Linked DNA regions of Drosophila melanogaster. The gene in region 3 interacts genetically with the main gene of each other region. Each region holds a gene or a part of one and is shown on either strand. Other genes may lie near its edges.

Evidence for each region. Genes that interact genetically often act in the same process or in processes that back each other up.
Region 1: of hep (region 3) and Rac1, changing one suppresses a phenotype caused by changing the other (phenotypic suppression), as found in Drosophila melanogaster (3 studies listed by BioGRID).
Region 2: of hep (region 3) and egr, changing one suppresses a phenotype caused by changing the other (phenotypic suppression), as found in Drosophila melanogaster (4 studies listed by BioGRID).

Annotation. Positions count from the first base shown.
Region 1 is NT_037436.4:1,300,329-1,304,400, reverse strand, and holds Rac1 (Rac1), read left to right. Parts: upstream 1-1,717; 5' UTR 1,718-2,054; coding exon 2,055-2,633; 3' UTR 2,634-3,522; downstream 3,523-4,072. Other genes in the region: Acat2 (Acetyl-CoA acetyltransferase 2), read right to left, coding at 1-121, 178-363, 424-853, 908-1,020, 1,092-1,213, 1,308-1,350. UniProt on the Drosophila melanogaster protein: During various developmental processes, regulates changes in cell morphology in response to extracellular signals.
Region 2 is NT_033778.4:10,076,661-10,084,415, reverse strand, and holds egr (eiger), read right to left. Parts: upstream 6,051-7,755; 5' UTR 5,405-6,050; coding exon 5,234-5,404; intron 3,804-5,233; exon of another isoform or gene 3,722-3,803; intron 3,629-3,721; exon of another isoform or gene 3,492-3,628; intron 3,229-3,491; exon of another isoform or gene 3,091-3,228; intron 2,910-3,090; coding exon 2,784-2,909; intron 2,164-2,783; exon of another isoform or gene 2,094-2,163; intron 1,775-2,093; coding exon 1,449-1,774; intron 1,387-1,448; coding exon 1,282-1,386; intron 1,155-1,281; coding exon 1,090-1,154; intron 1,013-1,089; coding exon 923-1,012; intron 843-922; coding exon 478-842; 3' UTR 206-477; downstream 1-205.
Region 3 is NC_004354.4:13,087,403-13,092,372, forward strand, and holds the start of hep (hemipterous), read right to left. Parts: upstream 3,033-4,970; 5' UTR 2,375-3,032; coding exon 1,957-2,374; intron 1-1,956. Other genes in the region: lic (licorne), read left to right, coding at 4,081-4,139, 4,210-4,600, 4,687-4,819, 4,882-4,970. UniProt on the Drosophila melanogaster protein: Required for the epithelial cell sheet movement called dorsal closure (DC), which allows establishment of the dorsal epidermis. Controls the expression in the dorsal epithelium edges of another dorsal closure gene, puckered (puc).

The sequences.
Region 1 (4,072 bases), on a different chromosome or scaffold from region 3:
TGACATTTACTTTCTGAGCATCCAGCTGCAGGTCCTGCAGGACAGCCAGTGATTGGGCGGCGAATGCTTCGTTCAGCTCGTAAAGATCCACTTCCTCACGCTTCCAGTTAATCTTTTGAAGCTGAAAAATGTGAAAACTTAGGAGCATGTATAGAAGTGGAATTTCCGTGTAACTACCAATGCTTCCACAGCTGTGACTGGTCCCAGTCCCATCACCTTTGGCTCAATGCCACTCTGAGTCCAGCCCACAATCCTAGCCAGCGGCTTAAGACCCTTCCTGGCCACCTCCTCGCCGGACATCAGTAGTACGGCAGCAGCGGAGTCGTTGACGCCTGAGGCATTGCCAGCGGTTATAGAGCCGCCCTACATAAGCAAGAGAAAGTGGGTTAACTCTCGCTCTTCTTGTATTTATCTTAGACCCACCTCTTTGAAGGCTGCCCTGAGCTTCTGTATACCCTCGACGGTGCTGCCCGCCTTGATGTACTCATCCTTGCTGAATGTGGTCGTACCCTTGCGATCCTTGATCTCCACGGGCACAATCTCCTTGTCGAAGTAACCCTTTTTTTGGGCCTCCTCGGCTCGATTTTGCGACAGCACGGCATAGGCATCCTGGGCCTCACGACTGATGTTATACTTATCGGCCAGATTCTCGGCAGTGATGCCCATGTGTATGTTCTCCATGGCATCGGTTAGGCCGTCGTGGATCATCGAGTCCACCATAGTGCCCGGACCCATTTTGACGCCCTGCCGCAGATGCATGACGTGTGGAGCCAGGGACATGCTCTCCTGACCTCCTGCCACAACAATCTGTGCGTCTCCCGAGCGGATGGCCTGGTAACCCAGCGCTACAGTTCTGGAAATGGTAAAAACCATTGTAAATGTACGGAATTGTACGGGACAAACTCACTTTAAGCCGGAACCACATAGCATGTTTATGCCGTAGGCTGGCACCTGAATGGGCAGACCCGCCTTGAGTGAAGCCTGACGTGCTGGATTCTGACCCTGACCGGCGCTTAGAGCCTAACAAAGATATTTACATAACAAATAGATCGGTAAGATAGGAGGAGAAACAGTTATGATATGGGTCCCACCTGGCCCAAGATGACTTCGTTGACCTCCTGGCCCTCCACATTCGCCCGCCGGAGTACCTCCTGGATGACCACGCTGCCCAGGTCGGAGGCCTTCAGTTTAGAAAGCGTTCCATTGAAGCTACCTGTTGATTTTTCAGATTGGACAAACACGAAGAGAAAGTTTCCAATTAGAATGTGGTTATCGTGTATGGTGCAGCCGATTTATCTTGGTTTTACCAATGGGCGTGCGGGCGGCGGACACGATGAACACGTCAGACATTCTGGATGGGCAAGGAACAGGTGTTATTGACTTGGCTATTGAGCAGCAAATAAATTCTAATTTTCGAAATTGTATTATTTGCTGCCAGAAGTGTGACCAGGTGCAGCCAAAGCCCAGAAGCTGCACTTCTGGGGCCCAGCCCTACTAAAAACAGCTTGTTCTCACTTCAAATCACTGACATAAACAGGAAGACAATGAAATTATATATTTTGTAATTCGGATTTAATTATAAGTAAATGCGAAACTTAAGGGTTTTATGTTTGCTTTAAGGACGAAGCCTTGAAATAATTTACAAATCTTAGGGTGACCATTTCAATGCAGTTTTAATTTGTTTTAGTATTTTACAGCTTTCCCATGGTAAATTTGAACAGTCCAGCCGCGGTCACACTGCAGTACACAGAAAATTTACTTTTTTTGTTGAGAAAATTAGGGAAATTAACGCACAAAACGCGAGTTAAAGAGGCCCAGAACGTAAGGCGCGATCATCAGTCGCCCCGAGGACCACAAGGCACTGGAAAAGGAGTCGCGCTTCCAGAGATAACCCCGCAAAAGGACCCACGCAAGCAACAGTCCTCCGCCGCCGCCCCAAAAAGAACCAAAAACGCCTGAAGAAGAAGCACCCCCGCAATCAGAAATCTGCAATCTTCAATCTCCAATCTCTAGGCACATAGCACTCCAGTCCAGAAAGTCGAGGAAATCGAACCATGCAGGCGATCAAGTGCGTCGTCGTGGGCGACGGAGCCGTGGGAAAGACCTGCCTGCTGATCAGCTACACGACCAATGCCTTTCCCGGCGAGTACATACCCACCGTGTTCGACAACTACTCGGCCAACGTGATGGTGGACGCCAAGCCCATCAACCTGGGCCTGTGGGATACGGCCGGGCAGGAGGACTACGACCGACTGAGGCCACTGTCTTATCCCCAGACCGATGTCTTCCTCATCTGCTTCTCGCTGGTGAATCCGGCATCGTTCGAGAACGTGCGGGCCAAGTGGTATCCGGAGGTGCGCCACCACTGCCCCAGCACGCCCATCATCCTGGTGGGCACCAAGCTGGATTTGCGCGACGACAAGAACACAATCGAAAAGCTGAGGGACAAGAAACTGGCGCCCATCACCTATCCGCAGGGCCTGGCCATGGCCAAGGAAATCGGAGCGGTCAAGTATCTGGAGTGCTCGGCCCTGACGCAGAAGGGTCTGAAAACCGTTTTCGACGAGGCCATCCGGTCGGTTTTGTGCCCCGTGCTGCAGCCCAAGTCCAAGCGCAAGTGCGCCCTGCTCTAAAAGAGTTAGACAGTTGGTCGGTGGTGTTCCACCGACGGACTCTGCTTAAACGTAATATTATTAACTATAAAACCATTATGTAACCTAAGCGTGGCCAGGCTAAATGGCTCATCCGTAGTTTCTTTGTTACAATTTTGCCACTAATTTCCGCTGCTAGGGGGGGATTCCCCCAACCCAACCCAACCCAACTCTTGCTTTTGTTTCGTTTCCGAGTTCTGAGTTTGTTTCGAGTGTTCTGTAATTCATAATCCAATTATTCTGTTTATTCGTGCATTAATTTCAACTAAAAGTTAAAAGCGAGATGTTTCTAGACGAAATGGAGAACTGTAAACTCTAACTGTATTTTGTATTATTTAATAACTTTTGTAATTAAAATTAATGTTGTAAAACTGAGGTAAAACCAAAAACAAAACAAAACAAAAAAAAAAAAACAAACGAAAAACCTAAAAAAAATGTGAGACAAGTACGAGAATAGCCGCATAATGAGCATAAAGCATAGATGTCGCATAGATGTTGATCGAAGGTCCTGCGGAAGGGATCAGGATATTGAGTCAGTAAAGTAAACGTTCCATTGCAATTACACTTACATTATTACATACTTGTATTTAGATGTTGTTGGATATCGAAGCGACGGCGCGGGCGAGTAACAACTTTTTAAACTTTTGCTAGATCCAGGAACTATCAATATATATACATGTATGTATAAGATGAAAAGTCCTTCGTATACTATGTACTGAATTAAAGGCATCAAACTGAGCAACTTTGAATACTTTGTATTTTAAACGACAGATATTCAAGAAACAAAAGAAAAACAAAAAACATGAACGAAGCCAAGATAATTATATAAATGTGTCTATTTCAATGGAAATCAATAAAGCATAATAAAAGGAGTTTTGGTTTATTTATTGTGATATGTTTCTTATATTCTTCTGACATATCATATGTAGTGAATACTAGAAAACGATCTGCGCATATTAGGGAACTATGAGTGGGAAAGAGCGTAAAACTAGTTTTAGCTAAGTCGAATCACTCATCGAAAAGATATCTGAGTGCTCTTTTCTTCTCCAAGATCTTCGCAGCACCAGCACATATACTTACTTACATAGCTCACGCATTCAAATATTCTTGATTGTTTATCAAACTCCATTCGTCAATGGCCGACATTGGCCCTCGCTCGAGTGCTCACTGTACCCACAACGGAGACAGACTTATCAACGCCGAAGAACGAATTATTTTGCTTATCTCGGCGAAAGTCGAGAACCGAAAATAATCTAAATCAGCTTGAAACAAAATAACCGATTCCCGGAGCTCCTCACTTCTGGTTCTACACCGAGAAAGAAGTATTTATGGTTAGCATGAAAATAAAATATAAATATATAGAAGTAAATAGAATAAAAGCATTTTATTGAACATGTTGCAACTAAACTCTAAAATGATCT
Region 2 (7,755 bases), on a different chromosome or scaffold from region 3:
ATTCAAAATTTTTAATAAAGACCATAGTAAGCTGGAATTGCACAAATAAAGCTGAGGGATATCTTTGAATGGCTCTTCATTTGAGATTTGAATTGAAAGCATTTGAAGCATTTTGAATCGAATTATACTAAGAACGAATATTCATTATTTAGAAGATTATAATATTTTCAATTGCAACTGGTAGCAATTGATTCAATTGATGTTTCTTAAACACGCTTACACAAGCGGGTAATAGCTACATATATTTTTATTCACTTTTTAGAGTCGAACGAGTATATACAAAATAAATATGATTTTCCTCCGTCTTCTGACTAATGCAGTATGCACGATTCCGATTGAGATTAGGTTTGGAGTGACTAAGACTAGGTACTACGAACTAATGGATTCACGCTGGCGATGAATCGCATTCACGAGCAGTCGCGGGGACAAAAGCTTAAACTGGTATTCCATCTTCTGACCGGGGATAATCTCTCCAATTTACACCTTGAAGATGCCAAAGTAGCTTCGGTTGTTTCCCTCCCGCAGAACTGCATTGCGATCGTTGTGAATGTCCTTCAGATGGATCCTCTCGTTTCGTTCCAGGTGGATCAGACCACTCGTGTGGCAGGTGTGCACCTTATGTGGCATGTTGGTGGGCACCGTGTTCAAGCACTGCAGGAATGGAGTGTCTCCTTGAAAGACGATAAATCCGTTCTGGTCGTGCGAGTTGTTGTAGCATATCTGGGCGTATACGTAATATAGGCCTGTATTGGTCACCGTCAAGACGCCATCGCGCGTTTGAAAGTGTCCCTGATAAGAGTTTCTCTCGTTATCATTTCCTATGTACATATCTCCATGGTAGCCTGAGAAATTCAAGAAGTGACTTCATTAGGTTGCCTGTAGTACTTGTATGTACACGCTTGACGCGGAAGCATCTCCTTACCCATACTTCCTTGGTGACGCCGCCTGCTGCTCAAGTGGAAATGGGCTGCTGGCCTCGAGTCCTCGGATCTGGCTGAAAGAAGAGATTCACCTGCAAATTAACAGAGGTGCGAATAGAGATTTGGTATTCGATTTTTGCCAATTGTTTCGCTTTTCTACACTACACACCTTTGCGGACTAGGAGGTGGCGATGGCGGGAATGCATTCTGCGACGGTGGTGAAGTGGTGCAGGGCTTCAAGTAAAAAGAAAATGTATACATATGTGTTTCAGTTACGCAGTTAACTATCTATCTTTAACCCATAGCATATAACTTCATTAATGGTTTTTCTTGCCTGTTTTCAACGGAACGTTCTACTTACCTCTCTTTGGAAGTTGCCTCATTGGATGACTTTTCCTGAAGCTCTGTGTGATTTCCTTGAATATTCTGCTCCTCATTGCGTACATCGGCAATCGAGCGAGATTTTCTGTGAAGAGGAAAAGCAGAGGCTTAATACGATAAATCCCTGAAAATTTCATCCGTGCTCACCTCTCCTGCTTCTTTTTGTGGGCATTGTAGCTGGTAAAGTCATCGAACACATTGTCATCATTTGAGGCTGAGGATGCACTGTCCGTCTCGCCCTCGCCCTCAGCAGTGGTCTCAGATGTGGGCGTGGTGCCGGTATGTGCATTGTTGAGTTTATTTAACATATCGGTGTAGTCCTCGTAGTCTGCGCCAACATCATCCACAGAGCTATAGCTAACGTCGTCGTCCTCGTCGTCCGCAATGGAATCCAGACCATCGCCATCGTCGTCGTCCTCCTCATCCGTGAGGCCATCCACCTTTTTTGGATAGTCGATGAGGGCATTCTCGTACTGCAACGAAGGGATGGGCATCAGCATTTTGGGTCAGAAGACTTGGCCAAGTACGTGACTGCAGCTGGCACAGTCCTGGCACATATCTCACATCCATTTGGGACGTTCATTTTTAGACACACGCCCGCAGCACAGGCTGTTTCGTCATCATCCTAATTGATGGCGCCTCGCTCAAAAACATGATACTCGTATACATATACTTGTGTACATCATACATATATTTAAAAGCGAAGGAAACTCTCAAGAGAATTGGCACCACAGATGCCCAGCCATCAAAATATAAATAAATCTTAAAATCTTAAAACCATCTCTGGCCATTAGGCCATTTGATGAGATTCGATCAATCGTCACATACAGCCAAAAGCGATCGCTCGCCTTGAACGACTATATCTACTGATAGAGCCTAGTATTTTTGTTGAATTATTGGGGCTTTTACCTTTTGTCACTTGGGGATTTGTATCTCATAAATTACGTGAACTGGCTGGCGCCTCATATTTGAAATGAGTGTTTCCTTGCGGAAAGAGACATTATAATTCAAATAATCTATCACAATTTTCTATGTGCCTTTGGCCAAGCAGCTAACAAAAAAAAATGAAACAAATAACAGATGAAACAGCGTCGAAATTATATTTTAGCACATAATTCTATAAATATTTTTGTATGTCCCACACAATAACCACATATTACGTCTGGTCATTTTTTTGAGGCATTCTTTTTCAAAAACAGGCGCATGGCTTACCGACTGTGAGATACCCTAGCCAGAGTTTGCCATCATAAAATGCAAATTACCCTTTAGGCAAAAAGAAAACTAAACATAATAGATACTCAATAACAAAAGTTCGATATACCCTCATTAAAAACTCAAGTACCAGCCTCAAGGAATAACAATCATTTCCGACTTTGTAAACAATTCGAGGTATCTGTATTTGCCCGGGGCAAATGTTACAGCCCCTGCCCCATCGCCGAGTACAAATATTGATGCTCGAAAGTGATTTACGCAATTGCTCACCTCCTTTTGGAACTCGTCGAACTCGTCCAGATAGTTTATGCCCAAACGCTGCTGGAGATTATCGACGACTCGCTTCAGGCTCTTCAGCTCCTTGTCCAGATGCGATACACGCGTTGTCTGCCAGATCTGCAAGATAAGATAATTCAATTGTTACACACTCATTCAGGCTCGTTTCTAATCATCCGCTCATTAGCAATTGGGCAATCAATTTAACGTAGCCCCAATTAAACATCTATAGCTGGTGCTAAGGCCCGGCACATCATATAACACCCAGTGCCGCGAACTTTTGACACCCGAAAAATATATAAAAACTAACTGAACAAACTGATAGAGGCGAGACGAGAAAGATTTCGTGGGGAAATACGGCGGGGTACGTACGATCGCCACTCAGCCACATAATCTGCTTAATGGATCATTAACATTCGGGCCGAGCAGAGGCCTTATATACGGACACTTCTCAAGTCTCGACTGGCAGCCGAAATCGAAAAGAATGGCTCAACTTAAGCCACTGTACGCGCAGACGGGGAAATATACACATGTACATACATGTAGGTACACACAACAACTTGTACTGAATTCTTGTATAAATTATGGACTTTACGCAGACCCAAGAAACTTGTTTAAGTTTCCAGTGAACCACTTTCCATTAGAGCTTATCGGCGATCAGTAGATCGATCGCAGCGCCTGCAGTTTGTCACTTTCTTAGAGGGCCCCAAATGATGAGGGTTACTTTGTACGAATGTCAGTGAAATTGAATTAAACAACGAAAAATGCTTCATGGCTTAACGGAGATTTATGAGGAAAACCGAACTTGAGGCCCACGTCAGTGGCTGAAGCCAATCATTTACAAGTCAATTGTCAATTGTACGATTTCCGTTCACTTAAGCCAAAGTTGAGTGGGTCATGGAGGAGTCCTGGGTGAGGGGGGGGGAAATGGGGGTGGGAGAGAAGGACCAGATTCAAGTCCACAAACTTAATCTTCTGCAATTCAAATCCGGATTTCAGCGAGCACACTCATTCGCAAAGTTATCAGGGAAAAACATGACACAACAACCCAGTCGAAGATTTATCGAATGCATAACAGAACGGACTCAGTGGCATTTAAATCGGTTGAACAAAAACAAAAGGGAAGAACAGACATGTACCGATAAACATTTCTCTAGCATCTGCATCCGCTTTATTTGGATTAGCTGGATCATTAGGAACCGATTTGGCCTAAAGACGTGTCGGTGATGACATCGCTTGATCAGCCAAGAAACCGCCGTTTTTCCCGCTCTAAATATAGTTTCATGCCAAATTATAGTTAACCTATCTGCGACGGTCACGGATCATAAAGTCTGTTTTCATTTCAATTTATGCATCCGCGGAATTTCGTCTTTAATTTGGCATCAACAAAGACTTTGTGACAAACAGCTTTATAAGCCGAAGCGTGCCAAAGGTTAAATATTCATTTTTAGATTGCGATTTCGGGGGTGTCTATACACATACGTTGTTAAAGTCCAATTTGCATTTATATTTATTCGCATTTTATTTTGGCAAGCTACTGAAATAAACATTTCCGAAAAATAGGAGTCTGTTCAGAGTCTAGAAGGCGGTTCATGGCTGAATGGAATCTCTCTGTTTTTATGCTTTCATTACTTTATTGGTGCAATCTGTTTTCCAGATAAAACTAACTGTCGTTGTGATGGTTTTTGGAGAGATAACTAAGCAAAATTATAAATTAAACTACCAAAATAAAACACTAAAAACACAATAAAACACAAATTCTACAAAAGTCTAGTTTAAGAATCAGTGTAATACCTTTACACTCGTTTCGAAACAGTCATTAAAACGGCCATATAATCATGATTGGCCCACTTTGGCGCCCAAAATATCATTAAACAACATAGCCCATAACAACTCATTCCTATCTATATTCTGGGGAAACTCCCACCAATAACTGATATACCCACACCTTTGGAATTCCGACGAATCATTAATCGCACACAACAAACAAAAAAAAAGGCATTCAAGTATGGAATAGCTATTTCAATTTGGAGGTGACTACTTTAATCTTTTTCAAATTATATTCATTAACTAAATCTATTCAGCACATTTGACGATTTTAGTGTGCTAAAAAACATTAAAAACATAAAATGCGACTGAAGAGATTGTACGACGCTCAAACACACATAAAATATGTTATACTATTTATTTATTTGTAATTATTTCAATACTAAGTATGATTTGTGCCACCTTAATTAAACATCTTTAAGCATGGTTTGTTATCTTAAGTAGGCAGATAGAGACGCAATGTTATCAATTAATAGCATCTTAATGAAAATTTTGTAGTACGATTTCATTCAGTTCAGAGTCTAATTGGTGTGTTTAGAATCGCGATAGTCGATCCAAATGGGCAATAATACCTGATTGGGCTGCTATTGGGTAAATGATTGTGAAGGAAAACTTACCGTTAGTGCGAGAATGGCAACGACCAGCCCCAGACCGATGAACCCCAAAACCAGGGGGATCAGCTGGCGGGTGCGTCGCTGGGCGGTCGCCGTGCTGGTCGCTTTGGCCGGAAAACCATCATCGTTGGCACTCGTTGGCGTTATAAACGGCTTGAGGGTCTCGGCAGTCATAATTGATGAACACTGGGGATCTTAGAGCAACCGGGGCCTCCAGATGCTGATGCTGATTCTGTTGATAATGACGACGATGATGATGATGACGATCTTGCCCACCCACTCAAGGGCACTCGACAGCTGTTTCCAATCGAGCTTTGTCGCACTTTATATGAACACACTCTATGTATTTAAGATACTACACGAGCACACAGAACAACCTCACAGACAGCATGAGATGATAAGCTGCGACATCTATATAGATAAACCCCTCGGGCTGCTGATGGTGCCCTTTTCAGATTGTATTACCACACTTGTTTTGTCTACTGCTTGTTTTTCTCTTCCGCGATCGGCAATTAGCAAAAGAAAAGCGCGAAAACAAGTTTCTCAAGATATTTTCTAGTTTTATCAGTTCTTGTTTGCGATAAAGGCACAGCGAAAACCAAAAAAAAAAAAAAAAACACAACACACAGTGGACGAGTTGCACTTATGTATTTTTAGTAATTTGCCCGATGGCGAAATTCAATCTTGGTAAGTAGTTAACTGAAACGGATAGCTTTTTTTCTTCGCTATCATGCACGCACGCGCTTGCTTGGGATCTCTGATTTACCGGTTTCTTTTCTCACTTTAAACGTCCGTTCGCGTCGACGATTCGAAAGAGAATGAATTTGAACTGAGAACGGGAGCGTGAACTGAGGGAAAACGAACCGAGCGGCACTTGATTTCTCACGTTCGAGCAGGCAGGCGAGCAAGAGGGACAACGGATTGGCACCGTCTCCCTCGCTCACGTGGCGAGGATGCGCGGCATACTTAAGGGCGCCTGCGCTGTTTACTTTGTGTAATTAATTTTTGGCAAGGTTCTCCCGGGGTGGTGTTTTGGTGATACAGTGGGCTCTGGCTAACAGGAATTAAATTAATTATTATATTTCTACAATTTTACATGTACATATGTATATGTAGATACGATTTTTATTTATTATAACAAATTATTTGTATGAAACTCATAATCATGGTGTGCATAAGAAATATTTACAAAAATATGATTTATAATATGATATAACACTAAATAATAGTTCATATAGTCTAAAGTTGTTAACAATTTAACAATGTTATCATAATTTCAATATCAAATTGAAATGCTCAAATAACGAACTTTAATAACATTTATCAAAAGAGAAGAAAATAGTGTATCTAATTTAGAATATTGGATGCCATATTGAAGACCATCTCATCGTTGTTTTTAGCCAAGACAGACTGTACTTGGTTCCGATTTCCCTTGCACATATGGCGATCATAAGTAGCAAAGCGTGTTTGACTTTTTGCGCAGTGTTTTCCACTGCTTTTATTTCTTTTTATGTGTTATGTGCACTTAAAACCTCCCCCTGTGATTTATAGGGGTTGCTCGATTGCTTTTTGAAATCGGCACCACTGTAAGCGGCTTGGCTTCGCATCCCCGGGTTTTCGCTTCATTTTCTTTGTGTGGCTGCTTTGTTCGAGCTCCCTTCATGACACTGACATGGAACAGATCCCCGATCTTCGATTCCCGAGCCGCAGCTAATTGAGTTCCGAAAAGTGGCGGATCGTTGACAAACCCATAGATAAGCCAAATGAACTTTTAGCATTTCATTAAAATCGTATTTATTATTACTTAGACCGACGATCGGGGTCTGTCAGCGCCGTGCCTAAGTACGGGTTCTAATTACGGGTAGCGGGGTAGCCATAAACCTAATGCTGATCCGATCCGATCAGCCACCGTCGCGACAACTAGTCTGCCGAACCGGCTGCCAAACAGACCCGTATCGTAAATCCGCCCAAGAGTGTCGTCATTCGGCAGAGATGCAAATGTCGGCGTTGGTCAGCTAATTAGTTTCTAATCGTCTGCGACAAACAGGTAACCACAGGTAGAACTGCTCAGGCCGTAAGAGCGGGGATCGGATGGCACACGCTTCCGGTGCACTTCTTAACCCATTAGTCGTTATCTGTTTTCGCATTGTGCAAGACCACATTTTTATTTATAATTTTCAATGTTCGGAAATGGTAAATCAATGATTTAAAATTATATACATATACATATGTATGTACATTTGTATATACAATAGTTTTTGAAAAGCTTCTATTACTTTTTTGTGTTTTGTATCTTACTTTTTTGTATTACATCATTTGTTTTATATAAATTCAGTTGTGAAAAGCTTAATTAATTATGGAATAAATCGGACGAATTGTTTCAATCTAAGCTCTGAGACCTTTTTGGTTTTATGCAGTGTTAATGAATCTGATTCAATGATCTGTGCAAACATATATGTACATATATCAGCATTGAGCTGGTATGTCGATGTACATGATATTGTAAGATCTAGATATATCACGTG
Region 3 (4,970 bases):
GTGTGTGTGTGTGTGCATGAAGAGGAAGAGCGAATGAGAGCGATTTTGTTTTTGTTTGCGAAGTTTTTTTTTCCCTGGCAGCAATTCAATTCAACAATTAGCCACTACAACAACAGCACGTCATAAAAAATAACGCTATTTGTAAACATGCGAAAGAGGAGACACGGCACAATGTCCGATGAACGAATGTGGGCAGGGTGCGGCGGAGGTGGGAATATGTGAGGCCCAAAAAAAATGACAACAACAGTAACGGGCATATCAAGACATTACTCCGGAAATGCCAAAAAGTAACCAATGGCGGAGAGCGAGAGAGGAAGAGAGCACCAAACGCGAGTAGAGAGACGCACACATGCAAAAAGTAAATAAAAAGTATGTAAGTAAATAAATAACAACACTTGATGGCAGATGAAAATCCAATAAGAAAAATATACAAGACAAATATGCAAAAACTTAAATGTATAACAAAAGGAAGGGGAAAAGAAACGAAAAAAGGCGGTGGGTGGTCTCACAACCGTGGGCACAATAACGTCATCTCTTACATGAAAAATTTAAAATTTCTATCAATTTAAGCCTCATAAATAATCGAATAACGACAACTTTTGTCTTTAATAAACCAATTTTGTTCTGATAAATTAACATATAGACCGTTATATTTTGTTAGCTATTTATTCATTTAACTTTTGCTCGCTCATTATGTACCACGAACTTGAAAATCTATTCAATAGCTGATTACACTGTTAAAATTTGGGTGTGATTTTAAGTACCCCTGAAATTCGCGGAAACTATTAACCACTACTAATCTAATCGAATCGAAATGTATTTGATTATTCAAAAACCCATTAGGCATTTTCTGGGGTTCATGTATCAAACAGTTATGGTACCAGGAATTGTTAATCTAATCGAGGCGAAAATAAATTGACGCGGTTCACAGCTGTTAATACCACTGTAGATTTGACTTCTTTTTATTTTTGTTTGGCCCAACAAAAGGCCGAAAACAAGTTGGGTACGCTTTTGGTGTTCGCACTTGGCCTGTCTTATCTATGCAATCGGAAAAACAGAACGGGAAATCGGAGGGGGGGAAAAGCGGCAGAGCTACGGGGTTGACGGGGCGCTGCTGAGGTGCTGGAATGGGGGATTATGAGCAGCTGTTATGCAGTCGGGGAATCGATAGCGTTTGCCCTTTGTTGGCGGCATCCAAATGCTCCAAAGTAAACCCAATGGCAATAGCAATGGGAAAAGCCAAGAAAAGAGCACTTCTCTTATCACAATTTAAGCACACATACATGTATGTACACACACACACGCGCACATACACAGCTTATTGGGCAATGACAATTTATTAACAAAATATTTACACAAATGCGGACAAAAGATGGTTTTGTGGCTTGCGGTTGGCGGTACGGTATATATAGATTTTTGGTGACCATTTTTGGGGATCACGATTTTTCTCAGCCCACTTTTATTACCACTTAACAAACTGTCTACAGTTGCGGTCAGAGAAATGTTGGCTTAAATCCACACCTGTCACAGAGGATCAATAAAGATTTCACCTGTCTAATGTTCGATCGATAAAACATTGATCTTTCTGCGAATTAATATCAAAAATGTTGTTTGTGCGTTTGGAAATTTACTTGGAAAGTTTTACCACGTTTTTGGCGGCCAAAACTGTTTTTCGACAACGATTTACTTTCGAAAGTAGAGAATTATCGAATATTCGAATCGGGAAAGTCTCGTTGGAAAATTTTGAGTTACAGTACGCAGTTTGATAAGCTATCATTTTTAGATAGCGGTTTAGAGTATTCCCTGGTACATGGAGTTTAGTTGTGACATTATATTTTGTTATATTTTTCTTCAACGATTTTCAAAGATTCAGGTAACTACAGTGTTTTTCTAGTTGATCCCAATTAATTTTATATATTAAAGATTTAGTAGGAAGTTAACGAAAAGAGGACTTACGCATGGGCAGTGTGGGCGTGGCTCGCGACACTCTAGTTGTCGGCGGGGTGTATGTTCCACCGAAGGTGCCCGTCGCCGGTGCTGCGGATGCAAATGCGGATGCGGATGAGGATGATGACGAGGCGCTGGCGCTGCCGAAGGGCGTCGCATGAGGAACTGGAGGTGCTGGACGCTGGGCTATGCTGATACCCGATCCGGAAACGGAACCTGCGCCCAAGGAAGGTGCGTGGGTGGCGGATGTGGCTGCGGATGCGGATGTCGCCAGGGGCGGGACGCGGGCAGATGGAACGGAACCGGAAACGACAGGGCCGCGCGCACCGGAGAGGACGATCTGGTCGTGGGACTCATTCTGCGCCTGGAGCTTTGCCTCCAAGGATTGCAGCCGACTGCCGATCGTTTCGAACTCAATGGTGGACATTATATCGAGTCGATTTGGTTCGATTTTTTATAGTTAGTTGCTAGTATCGTTGGATTTTGGTATTTATTAAATTTTTTTCGCCGTTTTTTGGCCAGCACTTCTTCGATTTTCCTCTCACTCACTCCCTCTCTCTCACACACACACAAGCGCGCGCAGGCGGGGGAGGGTGCGTGTGTGTGTGAATTGTTTTGCTGTGCGCCCTGTTTGTTTTGTCGCTGATGTTGTTGTTGTTCGGCGGCACACATACACTGTAAACTTTACACTTGCAAAAATAAAGGATTGCTTGGACTTTTGTTGTTTGCCAAGGGGGGGCACAAAAACAAAATCGAAAAAAGGAAAACACAGTCACTGTGCATTAGAGAGAGACATCCTCACCCCCACACACGCACACACACAGGCATACACGCAGCGCCCTCTCTCTCTTTCTTTTTCAGCAGCAACGGCAACAACAACTTGCGATTTTTTCCTCCTTTTTTGGGAGAATATTTCATCGGTTGTTTTCCTTTCGCGGCGCTGTTTGTCGCACTTCTGCAATCGATTCGTTTCGCGACCGCGGGCGGCGGTATCACTGGCACAATTTGATCACTCGCTTTTGTACGTTTTTGCTGCCTAAATCGCGTGTACAATAGTGATGTAAAAAAACATCGATGCATCAGCCATCGATGGTTCTTCGCCGATAATTCTTAATATCTTTTTTCGTGCCTATCGATGGTTTGCAAAACATCGGCACCTCAGAAACAGTTTTCGAACTAGGAACGGCATCTAAAACTATGTAGGATTTTATTTTACCGAGATAGAATAATTTTCAGAGGATATTTCATACAAATATAATATAACTATAATAGATTTTTCAAATTCAAATTGGTCGATTCGAGAGACTTCGTTGTTCTTGTACTTAAAATAATAATATAAGGTCTACCTATTTATTAATTAATAAAATAATAAATTATTTTAGTACAATTCTAAAACATCGAATTCTATATGTTCAGTCAAACTTGCAACATTACGTATCGAAAACGGAGTGACCAAAGTGCTAAAAAGAATCATAAATATACCGAAATGCAACTTAAGATGGGCATCACTTGGCTAGAACTTATTAAGTTTTCCCTTAAAATAAATGTCTATAAATGTATAAATAAAAAATTAAAGAAAATAAACAAACATTAAAAAATAGGTATGAAGAATATACGGAACAACTTTCTAGAAGGCTTACAAAGAGATATAGATATAATCGATACCTAACTTAATTATCTAAATTCGTTGCAGGTGGAAGCAAATTTATTATCGAGGCACTTCGATTTATTTGTATGACGATACTATAGCTGCACTCGTTGGGATATATCGATAGGACCAACTGCGGCTGGCCAGCGCTAGTGGAAAAGAGAGAAAAACGAGAAGAGAAGCGAAAAGCGATCGGTGAACAGTGCAAAAAGTGCGGAAAGGAAAGCAAAGGCAATAGCGAAAGGTTGGGCGGCAAAACCCGGGCCACACGATCCACACCGATCCGATCCCCATATCACCGACCCGCATCCGAATCCTGACCTGACCAAATGCGGTAAAAATAGCCGCACCGCATCGCATCCGATTCGCACCGAACCGCCAAGTCTTGCAGAATCCGCCAGAAAACACCAAGGAAAGTCGTGGAGAGGAGAGGGTATATATAGCATATAGCATATAGGATATAGGATATAGAAGGGCCTACCAAAATGTCCAAACGCCACCGCCTCACGCCCTTTACCATTGCCAAGGAGCCAGAGGCCGCCATGTAAGTCAAAATGGTCAAATCCTGGCCAGAAACGAATTGTGAATTGAACTACATTCGGCAATCCTTTTAGAGTCCCGCCACGCAACCTGGACTCGCGGGCCACCATCCAAATTGGCGACCGGACCTTTGACATCGATGCAGATAGTCTCGAGAAGATCTGCGATCTGGGCCGTGGCGCCTATGGCATCGTGGATAAGATGCGCCATAAGCAAACCGATACGGTCCTGGCCGTCAAACGCATACCCATGACCGTAAATATTCGAGAACAGCACCGCCTTGTAATGGATTTGGACATATCGATGAGATCCAGCGACTGCCCCTACACCGTCCACTTTTATGGTGCGATGTATCGCGAGGGCGATGTCTGGATTTGCATGGAGGTGATGAGCACCAGCCTGGACAAGTTCTATCCGAAGGTCTTCCTTCACGATCTGCGAATGGAGGAAAGCGTGCTGGGCAAGGTCAGCTGGGGAGGATTGGGGGCGGGTCTAATCTTATCGGGCAATCGCCACTATACTATTACCGTACTACTGCCTTTGCTTTACAGATTGCCATGAGCGTGGTCAGTGCGCTGCACTATCTGCACGCTCAACTGAAAGTCATTCATCGGGACGTCAAGCCCTCGAACATACTGATCAATCGGGCCGGCCAGGTCAAGATCTGTGACTTTGGCATCTCAGGTGGGCTGGCATTCTGTGACTTCTTGCCACTGTAATCATTCTAATATTGGACTGACTTTTAGGCTACCTCGTCGACTCCATTGCCAAAACCATTGATGCCGGTTGCAAGCCGTACATGGCGCCGGAACGGATCGATCCCCAAGGAAATCCG